2 linked regions of the Nothobranchius furzeri genome follow. The protein of the gene in region 1 interacts with the protein of each later gene in a biochemical or structural test. Links are inferred from orthologs where the notes say so. Each region holds a gene or a part of one and is shown on either strand. Other genes may lie near its edges. The genes, in order: htr2aa and arf6b.

Region 1 (4,268 bases):
TGTTTCTTTTTAGACGTTGTAGGCTGCAAACATGTTTCAAGACCAGAAGACCTTTTGTCTCTCATTACTCACCCATTCTTTATGTCTTGGTGAGAAACATATAAGAACACTTGACTTCCTTCTACAACACACCTTCAGTTTCAGGGAGTCAGACTTCAGATCTGTCGACACAGCGCTGAGAAAACCTGTGCTTCCTTTTCCTCCTGATATAATCTTGCTCCAAATGATTTGAAGCCAAAGGGCTGAGGCAGTACAAGGCTAGTCCTGAAGAAGGATCAGAGGCTCTCCTGGTGTTGAAACTGTTCCAGTTGCAGGTGGGATTTCCTCTTTGTAGAACCAGGCTGGAACAATTCCAAATCCATGTCACATCTCTGTGAGCTCTTGGTCAAATCAGTGCTTTTCTTTACACAAGCGTGCGCAAACAACCCTTGGGTTCATATAACCATTTAAACACGAAGATACAGCAAAACATATGATGCAAATATCCTTTGGTTGTTTATAAATAAGTAATTACCTGTTGTAGCAGCAAGTGTTACACAACAGTAAAGTGCAGAGTAGAGCAGAGCCTGCCTCCCTTTCAGTCACACTAGTCGATGTGAGCATGTGCTGCGTGACTCTTAGAAAGCTGTGTGTGCTCTTTCAAAGTAGAAACATGTGTTATTAATGCAGAGAATCTGTGTCACATCTCGGATGTTATTACATTTCTTACAGACACATAGACATATATGCATGGTTTCAGGGCAAACATGGAAGCTGAACACTCTCATTTGCGCTGAGGGTCCTACTTACAGAGGTCTTTGAGATGATGGGGAGGAGAGCGGGTGTTCACAAGAGCAGAACCTGCAGGGGACTAATGGAAACTCTTTCTGTTGCAATCCCATCTGAGTAATGATAGGCTTTGCCATTTTCTTTTTCCAGTAAAGCAGCATGCCACACAAACAGTCAACAACAGGACTGGCCACCTCCATCACTGCTGCTCCCCATCTGTCCTCCACCACCGCCGTCATGCATGCATTCTGACTCGACTGTTCGGACGGAGGTTAGGCTTCACCACAGAGATAAACACAGACCCAGTGATGTAAACAGAAAATACACTGTTAGACTGGGGAGTGAGGAAAGCCCTCAACATGCAGGAACTTTGTTTACCTCCAAACAATCAATCAAAAACAGTGGGAAGTCCGTTGGAACCGCCCAACAAGCAACACACCAAATTTTAACCAAAGGAAACCCAATGCAAGTGGCACTTACCATAGAGAATGGTCACCATGGAAACGGGCATGACCAAGATGCCTAGGAGCATATCAGCCACTGCCAGTGACATCAGAAAATAGTTAGTTGCATTTTGCAGCTTTTTCTCTAGAGAAACGGCCAGGATCACCAGGATATTTCCCATGACCGTGACGGCAACGACGGCCAGGATCAGCAGGGCCGCCCAGTTCTTCTCCACCGGCGGCTCGAAGCCAGCACACTGAGGCCCGAAGTGTCCTCCCAGGCTGCTGTGTGACTGAGTGTTAACGACAGCGTGGGCCACGTCGCTCTCGTGACATCCAGAGTTTGTTGCATTACCGGGTCGATTTGAAGGCCTGGGGTTAGACTCCGAGGTGGTAACGGTCCTGATGGTGTTGAAGATCAGCTCTGACACGTTAGCTCCACGTAAGTTCATGGTGTCGGCTCACAACCTCGGGATGTCTGCCAGATTCACCAGTAGGAGGGAGGAAAGGAAATTCTCATTTTAGATTCTTTTTTCCAGAAAAATAAAACAAATATTCCAGAGGCGTACAACATGTCTGTCATTTAATCCAGCGCCTCAAATGTCTCGTGTGATCAGCAGATGATTCTCCAAAGGAAAACTAGAATAGGAAGAATTATAAGGATAATAATACAGATAGAAAAGTGCTCCGGTTACTAAAAAAATATCCAAATGTTGATCTGATCGTGACTGACGTCTGCAAGAAAAGAAACGACTCTTCTGATTCTGGGATTTGTTTGAGAGCTGAAAGATGTCAGTCACGGTTTCCTGATCCTGGAAGTCTGGGCTTTTCAAACCGTCACCCATGGTAAAACAATGATGTCCATGTGAAAGGTCAGGAATCCAGATCCCGCTTCCAGCAGCTTCCCGGTGAGGTGATTTCTTTACATGTTTGCGTTACAGAAGTCCTGATAAAGTATACTTCAGTAATGCCTTTACAGGTGTAGGTCCGAGGTGTGTGCTGTTAGACGAGCAGGTGAACTCTGGGGCGTCCTTACCCTCTCATATCAACTTATGTCGACACCTGTGAGTGTGTGTGAGGATGACGGTGATGGATGGCGAGCGTGATCAAACTTGACACACGTTTGTCCATGTGTCACTAACGTTGCCATCCTTTGTCCCCTCACACACTTCCTGTGGACCAAACCCTCCAGAGGTGATACATGTTCTAGTTTGTCTTCCTCCTGCTGACATTCAGTCTGTGGTGGAAAATGTCAGCCACTCTTCAGCCGAGTCTTCCAAAGATCCGAGTGTTCTGTCATTCTTTCACATGGTGTGTACCTCCAGGTCTTGACTTTTCAAAAATCAAAGAAAAACAGGAATGAGGAACGAGAGAAGAGCCCTCTCTTCTCTGGGACCGATCAGCAGACTGAAGAGGTTTCCAGTTCTTCACAAGTGTCAGCTTGTTAGTCGTCTTTAGCGGTGACCAGGAGCTGAAGCTTCTCCGCTTTGCCTCTCGTCACGCTGCTTTTCACAGGCAGCCTCTCTTCCTCTCTGTGGGGATCTCCTGCTCTCTCTCACTCTGTTTCTACTCAAGGTCTCTCTCCCTTCTATCGTATTGGCTGGCTCTCTCTCTCTCTCTTTCTGTCAAGTCTCTCTTGCTCTCGCTCTCATTCTGTAAATCTCATCGCTCCGTTCAAATTTAGATCTGAAGGCTTCACTGGGATTATCAGATCTAAATACACAATGACTAAAGCTGTTTGTAAATCCTGACTCTTGAAATTCTAGTAAAAAAATCCCTTTTAGTCATGAAATGAGATGAAGACGACTCAGCTGCCCCAATGAGGCAAGAGACTTGAGCATTTGCATGTTTTAAGCAAGCAGTGGTCCCTGGTGAGACTGTTTAAGGTTTCTCTCAAAGCTGACTGGTGACTAAACGTCACTTTAGAAGGAAACTTATCCCAGTCTTCCGTCCAAGCCAGCTGTGGGAACTAAAATGGTAAATGGCCTGTATTCGTGTAGCACCTTCTTAGGGTTCTACAACCCCCAAGGTGCTTCACAATACAATCATCCATCACACACACATTCACATGCTGGTGATGATGAGCTACAACGTAGCCACAGCTGCCCTGGGGCGCACTGACAGAAGTGGGACGGTCGTACACAGGTGCCACCGGTCCCTCCAAACTCCACCAGCAGGTTAAGTGTCTTGCCCAAGGACACAACAGCAGCATTCTCAGGTGGGAGCTGGGATGGAACCTGCTGGACAACCCACTCTACCTACTGAGCTACTAAGTGGGTTTGTTCTGTGAATCACTCATGTTTCTAATCTTTTCATGACATTTAAGTTGCATTCAGGGTAAGAAGGTTTGTCTCTTCTTTGTTGTAAATGTGCAGTGGTGTCTGGACATGGATCCAGTCCCAGAAACAGCTCAGCATTCCGAGTTTTCCCTCCAGGAACAGAAGGAGACGTTTCTGATTGTTGAGAGATTTCAGTTAACCCTTCAAAGGGCACTCGTTGATAGGTTAAAATCTCAGCCGCAGGGTGTTATTGTGGTTTATAATGTAATGATTTAAATGACATGTTATTTAATAAGCCATAAGGCGTAGAATTCCATAGGAAATATGAAATCCACCTTACGGATCTGTGAGGTTATTTTTAACCAGAAGATTGAAACTTTTTAATGCAGAGATTAGATAACAGCTTCGTATTCACTCAGAGAATACAGAGGAGAGAGTCGAGTTTAAAAGTTAAGAATTTTATTACTTACAATGAAAACTAGACTAACTTTAAACACTACATGTATGGTGTAACTAAGGTGGATGTGACGGTGAATGGGGTGATGTGGAATGTTGTTCAGAACCAGCAAATCCGAAGAAGCGATTAGTTCTCATGGGAACTGAAGGTGATGTCTTTGCGTTAAGCTTTGGTTGGGAGATTCATAAACACATTCAACGCCATTTGCCGGTCTACTTACCCTGGTGGAAGTCCCCGTCTCGATCAGGAATGTCGAGGTCCAGCTTGACCTTTTCTGGAACCGAGCTGGTAGGAAAAGCAGCGGTTGCCGATCAGTCCAGT
Region 2 (4,099 bases), on another chromosome or scaffold:
GACGTCACAACTTCCTGCTAGCATCGATATGGCTCAAAACCAACATGCAGCATTCAAATCCAGTCCCCATCAGCTGTTTTTCAGCGCTGCCCTTTCAGTCGACATGTGGCTTTGCTCCAAGACAAGGCCGAGGCTGGACTTCCTGTTTGGGACATTTTCCCCGTCCACTGGCAAAAGGAGCTGAGGCCAGCTTTTAGACTCAAAAGTTGACTAAAAACTGATTTATCAGCTACAAGCTAAAGTGGATTCATCTTTAATTCCTGATGAAATACAATAAAACAGACATTAATTATTTAAAATTGTTTTTTTAATAATACATTACAATGACATTGTTCTGTGTACAGTTCCCCAGTCAAAACAGGAGTAAGCGCTGCACCCCAGAGTGTCGACCTCACCAGATAACGGCTCTCCCTGACTGCACCGACAGATGGACTCTGATGTAGGTAGGGTTAATGTACTTGATGTACTCATGCTACAGATATAGGCTATCATATAATGTCCCAATCACTGAGACTAACCAACCGTGAGATCAGGTTGCGATTTCAGAGCTGAATGACATTCCTTTGGAAAGATTGAGCCAACTACCCTCATTTAAAAAATGCACTTCCACAAGCATGTTTCTGTTACTGGTGGCCTATTTGTTTAATACTCAGCACAATTAGATATCAAGACATGACACAAAATGGTCAATCAGTTAACTGGATAGCCCACTTAAAAAGTTCAGAGGGGGTAACAAAACGTGTTTTTTCTTTGATGACTAATGACTGAAAAGTCGTTTTTTTCTCTCCAGATTTCACCCCCTCCTGTTTTTTGCCACAGTACTGTTAACAAAACTTCCCAAGTCCTTCGAGTAGGCTACACGACATTAAAGCGCTGACTGTTGAAGAAAAATAAGTGATCCGACTTGAACAAAGACATAACAGCTTCAGAAAATGAAGATTAAAAACTTAGAATAATATAAACTATATAAAACAGGAAGAAAATAGGCAAATGTGGTGATCTCTATAGCTTTAAACCTTAGGACCAATTGTTTCAATATTCAAGCAAGCCCCATTAATAACTGTAATTCAGGCCTGCTGCAGAACACAAGCAAACTTTAAGCCAGCAAACCCAGCTAAAGATAAATTAGTCAAGGGATAAACAAAATAAATGAAGATTATCAATTTTTCTTAACCGTACACATTTTTTGAGAAATTGTTACTTTTTTTGGATGCTTTGACCTAAAACAGTCAGCACTCATTAAGATTTGTAATTTGAGGTTAGCCACGTCAGCCCCTCATACAGTCCATCGCCCGTGGTTGCACAGGAGGGCTGAACGTACCAATTCCGATCTCTGATGCGGGTCAAACCCAGCTTCTCTTGGATTTCATGTGGCTTCATGGCGTCTGGAAGGTCTTGCTTATTGGCAAATATCAAGATGATGGCATCTCTCATCTCCCGGTCGTTAATGATGCGGTGAAGTTCTTGTCTCGCTTCGTCTATGCGATCCCTGTCTGCGCAATCCACTACAAAAATTAAGCCCTGGGTGCCTGTGTAGTAGTGTCGCCACAGCGGACGGATCTTGTCCTGGCCTCCGACATCCCAGACATTGAACTTGACGTTTTTGTAAGTGACTGTTTCCACATTGAAGCCAACTGTAGGGATTGTGGTCACAGACTGTCCCAGTTTCAGTTTGTAAAGGATTGTTGTTTTCCCAGCAGCATCCAGTCCAAGCATCAATATTCTCATCTCCTTGTTGCCAAAGATCTTTGAGAGCATTTTCCCCATTTTGAACTCTTGGGCATAAATATTTTGTTCCAAAGGGGAAAAAAAAAGTCTGATAATGTATTTGTAGGTGTTTGATTTCAGTATTGGTGAAAGCGTGAATAAAAAAAAAGGGATATTTGGGCCAAAAATCAAAAACACATATTCAAACCTAAAAAGGATTACTATAGTTTTCCGGGAAGCCTGTCAGGATCCTTTTGAGCGCAAAAACATTAAAGTTCAGATGATCAAACCTCTGCGTGAGCCTACAAACAGCATGACACAGTGGGACTAGGAACTTGGCAGCAGCAGTTGCAGGCTAGTCATTGTCTTTAAAACTAAACAAAAATAAAGTTATTTGGGACAAACACTGGCCGTGGGACAGAGATATTCAGCGTGTGTTAAGAGGCCCTCCAAAAAAGCCGCGATGCTGAAGGTGATTTTCTCCTGGTGTTAGTTGTATGAGGCGGTTCTCCTCACCGGGTGCGCCCTTGTTCAGTACACTGCTGCCTGGGGAGAAACTGCCGCTATATGCGGCTTCTTCAAAGGAGGTCGCGACGGGCGGTCACACCGCGCTCAAAGGGACGATTACGGTAGAAACAAATCCCAGTGACTCGGTTAGAAAAGGCCCACTCAGGAAACTCTGGTCGCACTGAAAAGAGATTTAGGGGGAGGGTCAGACATGAAAAATTAGCCAGCTATCGCTCGTGGCTGTTAGTCAGCTAGCATTAGCTAAGCTAACTAGCGATAGCCAGTTAGCTGCAGTAAACTACTGAAATGAAAACATCAAAACACGCATCGGTGACACATTGCCCAGTATACAGTTGCATATTTCATACTGGTTTGTGCAAAGGTACGGTATTTACCCGTTTATTTCCCTCCAGACTCGATAAATTTACTCAGCTCTTGTCTTCCTTCTTTAACTGGAGCTGGCCGCACTCCTGCTACACCGGAAAGGTGTGGAACTGCATCAACAGCCACTTCCTCTCGTCTGCTCCATTAAACTGGTTCCGTCTTTTGGCAGGCCGTTGTATAACATAATCAAACTGCACACATTTTAACTTGCTTTCATCTTCACCTGTCAGCAAAACAAACAAATAAACAAATAAATAAATTCTCAACTGCGAGTGGGAAAATGTTATATAGCAATCAATTATTTTCTTTGCTTTGGCTTTCGTTAAACATTTATTGGTTAGACAGGAACCAAAACGTAATTTATTCTAGTTCAGTAATTAAAAAAATGTTTTCCACGAATTCACAGTCAATAGATGTTGGATGCCATCTTAGGTCGTTTGTATTATATTCATTAGCTCTCGAGCAAATTAAACCAAGAGCAACAATTGTGAGGCTATAATTAAATCAACTTACATTTCAGATATTTACAAATATACGTATTTTTTTATTTGCCCTTTATTGTCTAATTCAAACTGTATTAAAAATAAATGTAAAGAATTTATTAGATGGTAGAAAAATGGTAGACAATTTGTTTTCTATTGCTAAATGTTTTAATTTGGAAAAGTTATATCTTCATGGAAAACTTCATGTATGGTAAGACAACTAGACAACTAGTTATTTCTTCCTCGTCTAATTCACATTTTTGATTGCAATAACAATATTACTCAAAATGAACATATTCTTAGGACAAAGTTTGTCATTACCTTCATTCCCACAGCTCAGTTCTCTTAACCTCAAAATCTAGACCAACCAAAGAAGCAGCAAAAATAATTTGATTCCAGGTTAGTATAGAAACACTCCATTGTAGCCTCAGCAGGTCTACCACTGGCCCGAACACTTTTGTATCTTGTCAATCACAACACTCTATGTTTGTTGTGCGGGCTTAGCGCCAGAGCTGTGACAAAGAAAATTTACAAAGATGGTGTTGGCTCTTGGACTGAACCTGGTTTTGTAATAATCTACTGAGGTTTTTATAAACACCTTTAAATCAAATGGAACAGATGTGTATTATCTACAGATTGAACTCCAAAACACAACACGAAAAATAATCTTGAATAAGCAAAATAATTTTTTTTATTCTAATAAAAAAAACGAATTATCACAAGAATAAAAAAAACACTAATTCAGACATGGATTCCTTTGACAAAAAATGGGAAAGACGCACTTGTTGTCCTATACAGCTGAAAACCTTACCCACATGAAACATTTTTGATGTATGCACATTTTTCACTTAGACCAGGAAACATTGATTCAAATTATCTGGAAGTATTAACCAATTTTACAATTGAAAGTTTAAAAAGCCATTTATACATTTGCGATTTTTTTCATCTGAAAATTATTTTGTAACAATTTTAATTGTAAAATCCCTAAAATAAGTTTACAGAACACAAGAAAGCTTGGA

The links.
Region 2: the proteins of htr2aa (region 1) and arf6b form a complex in vitro, tested with the Homo sapiens proteins (2 studies listed by BioGRID). The link is inferred for Nothobranchius furzeri from reciprocal best matches to the Homo sapiens genes HTR2A and ARF6.

The regions. Positions count from the first base shown.
Region 1 is NC_091754.1:35,558,475-35,562,742, forward strand, and holds the start of htr2aa (5-hydroxytryptamine receptor 2A), read right to left. Parts: upstream 2,954-4,268; 5' UTR 1,664-2,953; coding exon 1,249-1,663; intron 1-1,248. UniProt on the Homo sapiens protein: G-protein coupled receptor for 5-hydroxytryptamine (serotonin).
Region 2 is NC_091758.1:32,007,225-32,011,323, reverse strand, and holds arf6b (ADP-ribosylation factor 6b), read right to left. Parts: upstream 2,732-4,099; 5' UTR 2,610-2,731; intron 2,396-2,609; 5' UTR 1,768-2,395; coding exon 1,240-1,767; 3' UTR 618-1,239; downstream 1-617. UniProt on the Homo sapiens protein: GTP-binding protein involved in protein trafficking that regulates endocytic recycling and cytoskeleton remodeling. GTP-bound form plays an important role in the transport of multiple palmitoylated proteins form the Golgi to the plasma membrane.